Linked DNA regions of Drosophila melanogaster. The protein of the gene in region 3 interacts with the protein of the main gene of each other region in a pairwise test. Each region holds a gene or a part of one and is shown on either strand. Other genes may lie near its edges.

What was found. The genes of interacting proteins can lie anywhere in the genome.
Region 1: the proteins of CG10205 (region 3) and Pdzd8 interact in a two-hybrid assay, tested with the Drosophila melanogaster proteins (one large-scale study listed by BioGRID).
Region 2: the proteins of CG10205 (region 3) and CG17019 interact in a two-hybrid assay, tested with the Drosophila melanogaster proteins (one large-scale study listed by BioGRID).

Annotation. Positions count from the first base shown.
Region 1 is NC_004354.4:11,925,922-11,932,804, forward strand, and holds Pdzd8 (PDZ domain containing 8), read right to left. Parts: upstream 4,930-6,883; 5' UTR 4,593-4,929; coding exon 4,428-4,592; intron 4,361-4,427; coding exon 4,100-4,360; intron 3,984-4,099; coding exon 3,791-3,983; intron 3,588-3,790; coding exon 2,312-3,587; intron 2,238-2,311; coding exon 2,088-2,237; intron 2,034-2,087; coding exon 1,401-2,033; intron 1,336-1,400; coding exon 1,089-1,335; intron 1,017-1,088; coding exon 828-1,016; 3' UTR 503-827; downstream 1-502.
Region 2 is NT_033778.4:12,930,410-12,935,750, reverse strand, and holds CG17019 (uncharacterized protein), read left to right. Parts: upstream 1-1,705; 5' UTR 1,706-2,012; coding exon 2,013-2,080; intron 2,081-2,152; coding exon 2,153-2,310; intron 2,311-2,388; coding exon 2,389-3,949; intron 3,950-4,009; coding exon 4,010-4,149; intron 4,150-4,208; coding exon 4,209-4,384; 3' UTR 4,385-4,839; downstream 4,840-5,341. Other genes in the region: SCCRO3 (squamous cell carcinoma-related oncogene 3), read left to right, coding at 51-188, 252-585, 642-999; sug (sugarbabe), read right to left, coding at 5,223-5,341.
Region 3 is NT_033778.4:14,831,288-14,834,480, forward strand, and holds CG10205 (uncharacterized protein), read left to right. Parts: upstream 1-1,544; 5' UTR 1,545-1,644; coding exon 1,645-1,668; intron 1,669-1,884; coding exon 1,885-2,535; 3' UTR 2,536-2,664; downstream 2,665-3,193.

The DNA.
Region 1 (6,883 bases), on a different chromosome or scaffold from region 3:
TCTAAAAGATGGTCATTTCTGAAATTTCCTATCCTTTAGATGAGTATTGCTGCATCAAGAACAAAGTATCTTGTCATCTTAAGAGCAATAGCCCCTGATATAAACACTCATTGCTGCTGCCGCGGAAAAGTGTAAAAGTTCAATATAAATGGAGAAAGTGCGTCGTATATAAATCGTACATATAGAACCGATCTCCTACGCATCCGTCATATGATTTTTCTCTGTTCCGGAATTGTCTGTAGTCTCATTAGATCACTTGGTAGTAAAAACATGCCATTTTGAACTTGACATTTCCACGTTCACGTATCTCATACTTATATGCAGAATGCAGTATGCTAGGAGGCATAGTTTGCATGTAGAGAAAACCAATGCCAAAATATTAAAATCAACGTCAAAAATATTTAATTTAATTTGCACACACGCTCTTTACGTTCTCTATTACATACCGATATACAAACATTTTGCTATAAAATATTAGATGAATATCATACGAAATGTGATAGAACTTGGTTAAAAATGTTTATTTGCCAAAACAAGTTGGAACTCTATGGATGCCATTGATATATCCATTAAGTTTGGGTTAATCCCATATTATGTATGTACAAATCGGTTTCAAAACTGACAAATAAGCGTATTTTGATCGAAACGAATGGCTAAAATTGAAATACAATACTTCTAGTTAAGTATGCCACAACACGAATTAAAAATGCCCATTAGTTCACTAACACATTTCCAGTCTACTACTTAAGATTATGTACGAGTTCACGCGAATACACAAGTATTTAACCATTGACATGTAGCCCATGATCCCAGGATTGCAGCATCATCTACTGCAGCACCACACCCTGGGCATGTTGCAGACCCGTGCACAAGTACAGCATGATGATGCTGAGCGCCTGGACACGCTCATCCGATCTGTCCGATTTCCAGGGCGAGGATTCGGTGGCCTTCTCCGCATCGTTCATCAGCGTATAGCCCTCGGTCTCCGCATCCAGGGCTACTTTCAGTTTCGTTAACTAAACATTGATAGGATCATTATACATATATATATATATACATATATCTATCCAGAAGCCATGCAGACTTACCAACTCGTTTATCTTGGCCACACGCTCATCGGGCGGCAGGGCAGCGTATAGGAGTTTGCTGGTGCTCTTGGCCAGATTCATCAGATCCTCGTTGCGGGTGTGACGAATGATGGGCTCCGTGATGACGATCACCTGCTCGAAGCTGAGCTCCGGACAGTCCAAGGGCAGGGCCTCCAGGTGCTGGGTGACGCTCTCGAAAGGATTCTGCTGCAGAGCAGGAGTCGCCTCTTCCACAATCGACGATTTTCTGTCAGTATTCAAATATGGTATAAAAAAGGCACCCATATTAATTGGTTCTGCATGCGAACTTACCGCGATGGCGTGTGCTGTGGACTGGGAGGCAGGCTCTTGGAGTTCACCTGCTGACCACTGCCAGTTAGCGAGGATACGATGCCGGGAATGTCCAAGTTGCTCGCCTGCCGCTTGATGCCCTGGGCCAGCATCCCGGTGAGGCTGGATCGATGGACATCCAAGCCAGAGGCCGTTGGCGATTGAATTTGCCCCTGATCTCCGCCAGATGCAGCAGACGTCTCATCAAACGGAGTCGCACCCGTGCTGGAATCAACGATCTGTGGATTGTCGGCCTGTGTGATGGTGAACTCCGGTCGGCTGGCCATTGAAGGAGTGGAGGAGGTTGCCGGTATGGAGCCGGTACAGTCAACCGGACCGCAGACGGTGGCCATCTGGCACTTGACTATGCACTTTTTGTGGCAGCACATGGAGCACTCCTGGCACTGCATGGCGTCCTTCAACCAAATTTTCTTGCCGCAGAAGTCGCACTGTGTTGCCCGATGGAAGTGGGTCCTCACAAAGTCGTGTGCCCTTGGAGCGGCAGTGGTGCCACTAGAGGATTCGCCAGATGTGGAGCTGTCTGCCATAGAGCTCGTCAGCTTGAGGAACTGCGACTGATCTTCTGAAGCTACTCGGTCGCCAGCTAAGGGATTTCTGTTGGGAGCATAAGAATTAGTTTAGTCTTTTAATCCGTAACTTGAAGCTTACCTGGCCGGAGACTGGGACTTGGATGTGCTTTTGATGGGAACATCACCCACCGTCAAATTGGGATTGCCCATCCAGGAGAAGCCAAACAGAATGTCGCCAAAGCAGAGGTTCGGATTGAAGCCGGACTGATTGGACAGCGGATGCGTCTTTCTGGGGATCAGTAAATATATATCAAAACAATTGTGCATTCTGGAGTTTCCACTGGTGGTTACTGGCCAACTTACACAGCCTGCAGTGATGCCGGATTGAGACTGATCTGCTTGAGGCACTGGTTCAAACTGGTTTCGGAGCACTCGACGAGAATCTGACCGATCTGGACATTGTTATAACCCAGAAGCACACTCTCGCCGGCGGATTTGCCAAAGACGCAGACGTTGAGGAAGCGACTGGAATTGTCCAACTGGAAGCTGCACACGTCTTCCATGTGGATAAGTGGACTAAATGGACAGTCGATGGTGGAGTGCTGATAGAAGTAGTTGACCGGCTCCTCCACCTCCTCCTTGCCTTTGTCCTTATCCTTGTCCTTATCCTTGTCCTTATCTTTGTCCTTGTCTTTATCTTTATCTTTGTCCTTATCCTTATCCTTGTCCCGATCCTTATCCCCACTCTCTCGACTCATTGTCTTCTTGATAGCCTTGGCAATGAGGTTGGACTTCTTGGGGGAATTGGTTGGTGTTCCGCTCAAACTGGGCTTCACCACCAGGTGCTTGGGTGTCGGATCAGCGGTTGCAGCCTCATCCGTTTCCAACTTCGGTTGGCAGGGATACGAACTTGGCAAATCGCCGATATCCTCGTACTTTTCGAAGTCCTCCAGTATGGCATCGTTGCGAATAATTCCAGGAATAATGCGCTCAATGCGCAGACTAAAGACAGTGGCCTGCAGCGTCTTGACCACCTTGGCGATCTGCTGAATGGTGGTCACCGGCCTGCCTTCGATGGCCACCAGAACGTCGCCGGCCAGCAGGTTGGACTTGCAGGCCGGTGTATTCGGGAGCACGGACTCGATTCGCACCACCTGGCTGCCGCTCTGCTTGAAGACGATTCCAATCTGCTGGTTCTTCGCCTTGTGAATGAACACGTCCAACGAGATGAGCACATTCCGGCTATCCCGCTGACTGGCCTCGATAAACGGCACCGGCGCCAGCGTGATGGTGCAGTACGTCTCACTGGCGCCCGGATAGCCCATCAACCGGGACAGCTCCGCCAGCTTGACGGTGAGCAGGCCATTCGGTTGAATGTCACAGTCGCTCGCGTCCTCCTCCGCCGTCCAGTGGAAGAAGGGCTTGTAGCGCAGCTTGTAGTTGGGCAACGTGTGTTTCCGGCGAACCGCCTTTCGGATCTGGTTTGAGATCAGGTTGGTTATGTTCGACTGCATCTGGCGGCCCTGGTACTTCGACTCGATGTCCAGGATCAGCTCCGGATCGCCCAGGAAACTAATTGACCAGTGCGTGTAGGGCTTTCTCGTGAACTGCAGGCGCGCCATTCCCGAAAGCTGTTTGACTGCAATAAAAGATGTAAATTTAAATAGTAGGGATAAGTAAAATATATATGTACATATATATAAGAACATCATTAAATATTTAAATATTTTTAAATACAGAAAAAACCCATGAATTTGTTTCATTTCCAATGGCTTTTTCAGATTCGTGCAAGGCTGGTGGTAGGAACAATTAAAACCCATTCCCTGTCGCCAACTCACTCACCCCTAAGCGTTATCGATCCCTTCTTGCCCAGCACCATGTCCGCGTCAATGGAAGTTGTGAAATTGCCAACGTAGTTGATGTCCAGCAGAAGGTCGAGATTCTCGATGCGCTGCTCATCCTTGTCCAATTCCACGTTGTGCACCGATAGCGACTTGACGTCCGGAAACTGGTCGCCCAACTCGAGCTCTTTAATCTAAAATAAAATAGATGATTTGTTAGTACACCAATTAACTTTGAAACTAATAAAAGAGTATAATATCACTCTAACCCTTTTATTTTAATCAAAACAAAAAAAAATCTACTTCTCACCGTTAGCTTGTCCAGCAGTTTTCCGGTGGTAGTCTTGGAAATCAGTTCGTCCAGCTCGATGGACAGCTTGCGATAGAACCATTTCCGCACCCGATTGGAGTTCTTGAACTCGTGGAAGAGAAACTGCATGACAAAGTTGAGGGAGACCAGGGCGGAGGCCCGTCGGAGGCTCTCCTGATGGTTCTCGCATCCATTCCCAGCGCCACCACCCAGTCCGGAATTGGATAGCCTCTTCAGGTTCCTGGCCGTCTGCTTGATGTTCTGCGATTGTGGTGAAACCAAGTTGGAAATTGTCAATTGAACAAGGGAATTTACTCCAGCTACTTACCAATGGCAGGGTGTATTTGGCATTCGCCTGCTTCTGCTCCTCGCTTTCGTCGGGCAGATTCGAGAACTTGATGAAGATGAGATACTGCAGCAGGATCATCACCACTCCGCCGATCAACAGAAAGATCAGGCAGAGCAGCAGAATGTTTGAAATGGGTATCTCCATGCTGGCGATGCCTTAAATTCCCAATCTCACTCGAAAATACTGTCTATTCCTCCGGATCGTATTTGCTGGAGGAGCTGCGAGGCTACGATGGGACCAGCTGCGGAGTCCAAAGCTCCACTGGTCACAGTATATCTGATGTCAGTCTTTTCAATTACGTTCTGGATGTGCTCGCATTGTATCACCCTCGGCCAGTAGTTCGTTCGCCGTTCACACGGAGTTTGGATGCATCCGAATCGGAGCTCTTGACCCATCCATTTGGCTGATACCCTAGCCGATTTCGCCAATTTGAGGCTGTTCCCAGCTATCGGTAGCTGTAATCTTACAATTGTTACAACTGATGAATAGGCGACATAAAATCAATATGTATATCCGCAGCACTGGCAGCGCCTTTTTTTTTTTGTGCCGTGGCCACTTCGCAGTGCGCCTGCGCCCGGATCAGCTGGCAACCTTCCTGGGGGTTGATTCGCAGCCAATGCAATCCGGAGACCAGTCATCAGCCGGACCACTTGGAACAGCTGTTCGGAACGGTGCACCCGGGTGCACCCTAGGAATTCCTGATGGCAGGAAGTTTCAATTGCTTTGAGCTAGATAATTTCGAGAGGCGGTGCAGGCTCTTCAAATCCTTAAGGATGCTGGGATCCTTTGGTGGGCTTTCCATGGGCTCATTCATTTGTTCCATTTATAAACTAAAATAGTTGGGCATATATTGAAAAGGTATAAAAATCTACTCAATGCGCAAGTAAAAAACACAAGATGTGCAATTTTTGTGTTATTTTTTTGACATTTATTTTCTTCTTGTTTTTTTTTTGTTTTTATTATGGTATTCCTTTACATTATGTAAAATAAGAAAGTATTAATAGTTTTATTAACAAATTTGTTGAAGGCAGGTATTTATGTTATTATATGTTTATGTATGTATATCTTGTATATAAATTACGAGTCATCTTTATAATTACATAATTATTAAATGTAGTTTAATTATCTCTAGCGTATCTTAGTAATTAATTTAACTGCTTTATTCACTTAGTATATTAAATTAAGATATTTATATTTATATTTATGGTTTCTCTCATATATTTATGTATATGTATTATCATTACAATTTAGCCGTAACAGTTACATTCTTCTAATTTTAAACTAATTTCATTATTATTAATTTTGTTTCCTTTCCTATTCGCGTATCATCCCCTCTCACATCCTATATTTTATATTTCTTGTTGCTTTGTAAAAAAAAGTCAGATCTACTTACATATATGTATTTCCTTTTTATTTTTGCTTGTTTCCGTTCTTATTTTTTGTTAAGTTTTCTTCTTTATTGTTTTTTTTTTTTTTTTGTTTCATGTAACCGCTCACACCAGACAGTAAACAAATCACAAAATATACAGTCGAATCGTTAAGTTAGGGTTCAATGGTTAAATGTTTGCCATTTCAGACAGAAGTAAGCCACCTACGACATGAGTTAAGTTTAACAACACAGGAGCGCGGACCGTTTGGGTCACCTCAATTTTTGGATTTGAATTCAATTTTGAATTTTTTCGAATTGAGGATTGGCTCGGCAGCAGCCTTGTGTGCGCACTTCATCATGGTTGCATGCATATGTATAATGACTCTGAATCTGGATCTTAATCTGGATCGGGCAATGCTTTCCATGGCATCTCCATGTGGCGGGGGAATGCAAGGATCTGTAGCTGGAAGAACAATCGATCGCAGCATTGTGTAACAATATATATTTTGGTTTTAATTTTGTAAGTAAATGGCGGGACATGGTGCCCGAATTGTTCTTCCCCGGAAATATGTGATGTTTCGTGTATCGGATCCCTGCACTTGGCACCTAACCATACAAGTAGGAGTACATAAAGTTGGGCAGAGTTCGCGGTCGGCCAGCTGGGAGCCTTTTTTTTTCGAAGGACGAAGCGAAGATTGTGAGCATTAGAAGCGAATCGAATGGAATCGAGTTGAAATGGTCACGAGCTTGCCAATATTTTAGCTAACTAAATATTTCCTCTATAGGCATCATGAACTGGATAAGCGATACTGAATACTGAATTCATATCAGTGAACTAACTTCATACTTTGTACTCATTTCTATTTTTTTTTCTGTTTTTTGGTTTTGTTTTTTCTTGTATTTTTTTTTATTTATTTTCTTTGGTGTTTTTTTTTTTTTTTTGTATCATTTATCTATATTTTGTTTAGTTTTGGCATCGGGGCAATGATTCAGTAGTAGTAATTGAGCTAATGAGCCCTAAGCTGCCCTTCCAAGAACTCTACTGTTTTGTGGGGGATATCGCTAG
Region 2 (5,341 bases), 1.9 Mb from region 3:
TGTGATCCAAAGTCTAAGAAACCTCTCTTATTCCGGCTTATGCACTCTAGAAACCGATGAACTGCTCTCTAGCCGAACTCCACTCAAGCCAGCAAAAGCAAACAATTGTGATACTAAGCGTAATAGTTTTAAGTCTTTAGGTTTGCTTAATGGCAGTGCGCCCACCATGAGCGATATCATAACAACTGGTGAGTCAGCGTTCATTCGACTGCCTTGGCGGCATACTCATTCGATTTTCTATATTCTAATAGCTGTCCAGGAATCGATGGAGGTATCGCACCAAACGCTGAGCAAACTATTCGATGTGTACAAAGATCCCGACGACGAGGAGATGATACTCACGGACGGCATCGAGCGACTATGCAATGACCTCAACTATCAGCCCGATGAGTTCGCAATTCTCGTCTTGGCCTGGTGCCTGGATGCCTCGCAGATGTGCCGCTTCACCAAGGTGGAGTTCATTGAGGGTCTGCATAAGATGAGGGCGGACACAATAGACAGTATCCGGGTGCGGCTGGAGCAGACAATCGAGATGCTCAAGGCGGACGCCGAGATGTTCAAGCAGTTATACCGCTTTACATTCCGGTATGCCGTTCTTACTGCTTGGAAGATCAGTACCTAATTAGCGTCTCAAATTTCAGATTTGGTCTGGAGCCCGATCAGCGCGTCCTCTCTCTGGAGATGGCTATTGACCTGTGGAAACTTGTGTTCACTGTACAAACACCTGATCTCTTCTCCAACTGGATACACTTCCTCGAAAAGCACCCGAATATTCGCCGCATACCGAAGGATACATGGAACATGTACCTCAATTTTACGGAACAATGTGATATACAAAATTACGATGATACCGAAGCGTGGCCCAGCCTCTTCGACGACTTTGTCGACTACGAGAAAAGCCGGGCGCTGGTTTCCTCGGGCATCCACGACGATGACAACAACAACGACGATCCCCTACAGAGCCACGTGAAGGCCGAGGATCCGGGTCTTGTGTCATAGTAGCCAGTCTCCAGTCTCTTCAGGGCCAAGCAACATTCAACTCGCCAATAGAAATTAAAGAATGTACATTTTCATCTATACTGACCACTCGCTCTCTCTAGCTGCTGCTTAAGATCCCCTGTGAAAGTAGAAAACTTTAAACACCCGTGGCCACTGAAAACGAACGATGCGGTGCTGGCGCTGCTTGAGGACGGACTCTCCAACTGCCATCATTAGCCAGCTCTTATTATGGCTGGCCAACATTCTGGCCGGAGCAACAACGGACGCATTTGTTTATGTAATTAAAGACTTATCGACAAGAATTTTGGAAAAGCTCAATCATCGGAAACCACATGTGTATATAACTAATTGACTTGAAGGCGGAGCAGAAGGTAGACCGTATAATATTTAGCAATTAATTGATGTATTATTTTAAACAAAATTGCAACATTTTATGGCACTTAACTATTTAAATGCATACAATTACATACTTAACTGTAAGTAGTGGATGTGAATTAAATAAAACCAACTAAAAGATTAAACTGCTTAATTGGATTTGTTAATTATGGCATGGCGTATTTAGTTTGATATACCAGTAAATTAACTTAACATAATAGTTGCTTTAAAATGGGGGGATGTATTCAAATCAACCGCCAATTGCATGGCCTATCGATATTCATATCTGCAGATTGGACCGATAGGAATGCCTCCATGCAACCGTGAGACTAGTACATTAAATTGCTATTTTGGTTGGCCTGATAAAATTATAAAAATCATCGCAAACGCAGTCAGCTGGGTATGATTAAGTGTTGAGTGCACCTCCGCGCTCTTGAACAAATCCCCACCAGGTGGAAATGATAGCCGTGTGCAGGGCATTCTTTATCCAGTGATTCACGGCGTTGACATTGAAAAACAAACGCAATGCCAGCACAGTGGGCGTGAGCAGGCGGAAGGGGTGTAATCGCCAGGAAGGGCAAGGATTCAGTGCAAGGACACGGTCGATAGGAGCAGCTGGCCAGTGTCCAACGACCACGATGCCCTGCGAAAGTTGCGGTGTGGAATTCACGGTGTTCCGTCGCAAGCGTGCTTGCTTCGACTGCAAGTGAGTAATGGCCTGTTCATTTGGTTTTCACGGATTTCGGGGATTCATCGATATTTTGTAAACCTCCATTAGACGCTACTACTGTGCCAACTGCATTGCATCCAGGCGGTGCAAACGATGCTCTGTATTCGCTCAGCGACCACTGTCAAGGACAGATCTATTAAAGCTCAAGCCCAAGGACCTGATTTTCTATCTGCAGTCCAAACACATCTCCACTGAAGGCTGTCTAGGTGAGTTACTCATCCGGGAAGTCCCCTGGATGGGGAAACCTCTGGCAAAAACACAACTTAATACAACTTTTCCCACAGAGAAAGAGGAGCTTGTAGGACTGGTTCTCACCCATGTGGCCCAGGTTGACAGGAGCCGAGGCTCAAACGCCTCCTCCAATAGTCCGGGTCGGGGCCAGGCCAATCCCATCGACAGCCTTAAACAGTCGTGCCAAAACTTCTTCTCCAACCTAAGCGATAACATAAGTGATTCGCTAGCCTCGTTCGATTCCAAAGTTACCACAAAGCCGCCGGAGAGCAGGCAGCCCGAGGTGCCCACCCACATCTTCGAGCAGCCGCGAGTATCTACGCGTGAGATACCCACTTATGCCAGTGCCGTAAACGGCGGACCGCAACACGTGCATGTCCAACAGCAAGCCACAACCACCAATGGTGGCAGTCAAAGCAGCAGCAGTCCCTCGACTTCCACGCAGTCATCGAATAATCGCGATGCCAGTAGCAGCAGCCAGGCCCATGTGGCTCATCAGGAAGCGAGAAATGAAGAGCAGGAAGACGCGCAAAGCAAGTCCGACTGCGAGTGCTCAGACGAAGAGATTATGGCCACGTTCAGTGAGCGTGTTTCGATTTCACTCAAAACCGATACCAGTGGCCGGAGGGTCAATGCTGCGGCAGAGCCCAGTCCTGTTGATCTGGCGAACGTAGATAATGGACCTGCAGGGAACACAGCACCTAGTCCAGGCTGCTCCAAGCCGGGGTCAAGCAGCTCCAAGGCAGATGCCTCCTCGCAGTCAAGTTTTGAGGAGCTGGGCGCCATTGGTGGCATCTCAGACGAGAGCAAGGCCAACACGGACACCAACAGCAGTCACCTGGATCAGTGGCAGGTGCTGGAGGTAAACCGGATCGAAGCTGTAGAAGAGACGCCGACCACGAGTGCCGCCGATGAGATATTAGAGGTGACATTGCGCAGCAGGCCGGCGGTCGAGGGTGATGATAGTGAGATGGGCGAAAGTACTCAGGCACTTAACGTAAATCAGCGCCCGGCCAACCCAAGTCCGGCGTTCTATCCCGCCGTACCGCAGCGCACAAAGAAAGTGACTCGAAGACGATCCGATGGTTACTTGAATCGCCGCTACCATTCCAGCGATGACGAGTCGCCTGTGGCGCCAGGTGGACCTGGCCTAAGCCTGGGACTTTCCACGCTGAGTGAACACCCAGAGCACGGCTTGCATCCGCACTCCCATCGCCAGAGCTGCCAGCGCTGCGGTAAGAATAAGACAAACATTCGTCGACATGTTGAGAAAATGCGACGCCATCTGGAGAACTCGCAAATGTCCGAGGAGGACATCAAACGGGAGCTCCAGGAGTTTCTCACGTACCTGGAGCAGCGAACCAAGTCGGTGGATGCCTCCGATGCGGACAGCCACGCGGTGTCGCCACTCAGCGTGGATGCTATCAGTGTGGCTGCTGGTGGAAGATCACCGGACATGCCCATCACGCCAACAATTGAGTTCTCGCCAACGCAGGACGAAGATATCCGCTGGGACGATGACGAGGGCATCCATGTATACGCCGCTCCATCGGACTTCGAACCGACAGCCGGCATTGACTCACGATTTGTCAATTTGGAAGACTTTGAGGATTTGTAAATGCTCTATTCTCTAGAATGTTCATGATCGATTAATGCCTCTCTATTGATTTATAGAAAAGACTTGGAGGGTTTGACAGTGAAGCAGTTGAAGGAGGTGCTGATGCTGCACCGCGTCGACTACAAAGGATGTTGCGAGAAGCAGGAGCTTCTCGACCGCGTCAGCAGACTGTGGAAAACCATGCGCGAGTGTCCAGGTGAGCTTTGGACTTTGCACTACAATTTCACCCTCATAACGATTCAACCATTTACGCAGCTGTTGAAAAACTCGCCACTGATGAGCTGTGCAAGATCTGCATGGATGCGCCGATTGAGTGCGTTTTTCTAGAGTGCGGACACATGGCCACCTGCACGAGCTGTGGAAAAGTGTTGAACGAGTGCCCAATTTGCCGACAATATATTGTACGAGTTGTAAGATTTTTTAGAGCGTAATGATACGGCTAATCTTACGGTAACTGGACATAGTGTAATGATGGAAGCCGATAGCCGCCACAAGCTACATACAGATACAGATCCAGCCCAGCTGTACAAGTTGTACAGCAGATCCTGATGATGCGACTACAACGTATATGTTTCCTTAAATGACGCGAGTGCAACAATAATATTAATTTGATTATTTGGTTCTTCTCTGTAGTATGTTGCCAGTATATATATATGCCTATATATAGTGTAAAACCTGATATCGCTTTTAAAGTGTATTCATCTATTTCAAATGTGAAATACTTTTGCTATTTATTTTGTTTGTTCTTGTTGTTTGTATAAAAACGAGAGGTTATCTAGATCAACTAACATTCCTATAAACCGCAAAAAAAAACATTAAATCTGTTATTAACAGTTGTGTGAAAAACTCGTCTAGATGCGCATTTAAACAATAAATATTTTCCAATATCTAGCGCTCTATTAGCCCAGCCATTCGAAATGGGGATTTTCCTCCAAACAAAGGTTGTCTGGATCATAAATTCTAATCGAAGTCGATTAAGATTGGTCACTAGTTTTGTGACGAATCGCCTGTAACTGGGGATTTTCCCATACCTTGAGCTTATGGTTTTTCGAAATCTTTGAAATACTCTTTTTGCCCAGAACCACTATGAAGGAACCTAGATCAGATCAATCCCGAAGATACTCCCATGCCACCATGCCAAACTAGAGCAGTTCAATTACAACAGTCTTTAATCACGTTAAATAGTAATCTAGGTGTGGTGACAAGAGCTGGGAAACAGCGCAATGACTAGAAGGGGAAGAGAGACGAGAGGCGAACCGATTGGCCAGTTCAGATTCGATGGATGCGCAGGTCGAGCGGTGACTCCACGTCCATCTTAACGAAGAAGTCCTCGCTGTGGAGATAGCTATGCTGTCTATCGCCTAGCCAATAGCTGGGCGAGAATTCCG
Region 3 (3,193 bases):
TGATGGAGGATGGAGCAATGGAATGGATTCCATTGTCTGGATCCTGGTGCCTGCTCCTTGGGCATTTTATTACCGTCTGGAGTGGCTGCATTTCCCTGGTTACATTCTATTTCTTTTTTTTCCCCCCTCCGCCTCTGATGTTCGAAAGCTATAAATGGTTTTTGTCATTTCGACTATCGATGGCAAAGTGAATTTTTACGATGGTAATATGGATGCCAGCAGATCACCAACAGATTTTGGCAATACAAATCGCTGACCCCTTTTAGCCGTCATATCATTAACATAATCATCATCGATCGATGATGGTTTGTTCTAAGTTGATTAGTGAAGTTATTCAATCGAATCGAAGCAGACTGGGTCAATGAATTCGATGTGCATATTAATGAGGTGACACAATCAACAAGTTATGAACTTGTTTAAAGTTTGTAAATACGCTAAAATAAGAGTTCGCTGACGCTTTAAAACTTTAATTATAAGATTACAATCCGCATAAAAAGCTAACCTTGTTCGGAGCATTAAGTTCAAGATCTCTAATTCCATTACGCTGAACTGCTCCCTGCTCTCAAATCCCATCTTAGGTTGCTTGTCAAGTTCCAAGATTAGAAACCAGAAAGCTCAACTAGGAACAGAACAACATTGAGTCATCGGCTTCATGACTTCTATATCTCCCATCTGAATACAATTGAATTATAATTGTTTTCGCTGGCAAACTTTATTTGATTTTTATTTCTGCTCAATCGTTTTGTGCACACGCCGAATGATCAACAATGTGCAGTGTCTGAGACTCTGACAATTATCATAAATAATTTCATTACAATAATTAGTAATGCACGCCTAATGATCTGTGGAACAAATGATCAAGCTGTTTTCCGACTGTGGAATACTCTGCCGAAAAAGGAAATACGAGTTTAAATACTTTAAAGAAGTGGGAAAATATTTCAAAGACCTAATTTGAATAGTTTATAAATAGCATACTTGATGAATGTTTATGATTTGATTAATTTATAAGTTTATGTAAATCATTTCATATTTATATGTAGTTAAAAATATATACCTAAAGAATTGTATGTATCTAAGCGAAATTGATATATCTTGCTAAGCACAAATTTGTACTTCACCAACGGATAAAAATATCTTGAAATCAAACAATCCACAATACAATCATTGTAGTGAGAAGGGGGAAATGTGGGATCCGAGGTGATCAGACGCAAAACAAATTAATCAGCGAGGCAATCGGCGACAACCAACGCAAATTAACCAAACAAATGATTACCAGTTTTTGCCATACTCCGACCCACTGTGCGCGTTTAATTTGGGGAACTTACGGGATGGAGGGTTCTCCAAATGACAAAAGACGCAACAAAACTAACAAATTTTCGGCTCATTATATGTTCTCTGGCTCCTACCAAATGCGCGAGCCACAAAACAAAAAAAAAAACCAACACTTCATTATAAACAGATCGTGTTCGGGGGGCAATGGGGGGCATACATATCTGGGATCTCCAGCTCAAAAGCTTACAGCGATCGCTGGTCTCCAGTGTTTTTCAGTCGTCAAACGACAGCATCCAACATCAGTCGCTAGTTGCGGAAGCCACAGAAGCCTCAGAATCCGCGGATACATTGTTACCTGGCTGATCTTACAAGATGTTCGCCAATCATCGGCTAATGGTAATTGTGATTGATCGCCCACGGCACTAAAAAATAAGTACTTAAGTTCGATTATAGAATAATTTGCCAGCTGAAGTTGAATCATTTCGACTTTGTTGATAGTTAAAGATGTCGAAGTCAACAGCTGGTCAAGAACAGTTTATAAAAACTTGTGGCTTAAGTTCAAATACTCCAAAGTCTGACATAGTTTAATTCATTTGATTTAACTCCATTTAGCTCTTCTGCTTCTGCTTGGGTGCACTGACCTGGGCATCCCTCGCCATCGAAGAGTCCACGGACATTGAGGAGGATGTGATCAGCATAGCCAACCAAACGCAGAAGGTGATCCGCGTGCATCCGCAGGACCTACCGCCCAAGAAAGACACCACCGGCAGCCAAATGAACTCGCCCTTCATCCAGGTGCAAACACTGCGTCCGTCAACGGCATTCGGATCCAGTCAGCGGCAGTACGTGGACTCCAAGCAGATGCGAAAGAGGCGCCCTCGTCCCGCCAAGCTGCTGGGTGGAAATGTGGCCGCCAGTGGTGAAGATGCGACGCAGCCAGCCTTGAAATACGAACTAAAAGCCTTTCCCAAGCAGAAACTCAAGCAGCAGAAGCAACTGAACTTGGACGCTAGGGGGGCTGGAGAGTTGTCCGCGGGGCGGCAGGTGGAGCAGTTGAAGCAGGTGGAGGTCGGAGGTCAAGTATTACCCGTCCAGATGACGCCGGGCCCCTATCCCATCTACTATGTGGTGTCCAAGACCAACGGACGCTTCGGCAAGTTCCCCATCAAGTCGTTCCAGTCGCCCGCGGAGTTCGCCAAATATCTGGTGAAGAGCAAAGCGGAGCCCATTGGCCGGGATCAGCGATTCGAGGTGATCTTGTGATCTACCCGCTCCATCTTCTCTAAGTCAAAGTTAAAGTCTAAATTATTAGCCCCTAAACGTAGTCGTAACTATAATATTATAAATGCTTATTGCCGCAATAAACCCATGTCTAAAATTAGCTAATGAAACAATGGTGAATCCGTTTGAGTCATAGTTTAAAAATTCTTTATCTTAATTGTTTGGTTTTTTCTGCTCCGGTAATTACATGGGCATCTATCTTCATCTGTGACTCCATCCGCGGAGTTTAGCTAACTGTTTTGCTAGCTGTTAACTGGCCTTGTCATATGCTAATTTTCCAGCGAATCGAATCGAGTGCCGCGTATAATTAAGCCCAGCATAGCCATAACTATTGTCTGGCATTTACATACATACAGCCACAATGGATACAAGATACGCAGATACGTAGATACATTTGATTTATGGCATTCCCCCTTTCGCGGCTTTCTTGCGAATATCTTTTCAAGTGTCGTTTGCCTTTGTTTCTCTGCTGGTTACCTTTTCATAGCGTGATTCTTCTCCTGCTTTCTTCGCCAAACTAAAGAACTTTCTCCCGCCCATTTATAGAATATGATATCTTTTCAAAAACATGCATAGGAATCTTTCTTAAGTTCTTAACACTTCTACTATGCATTAGCTTCACAGTTCGATACTATAAAAC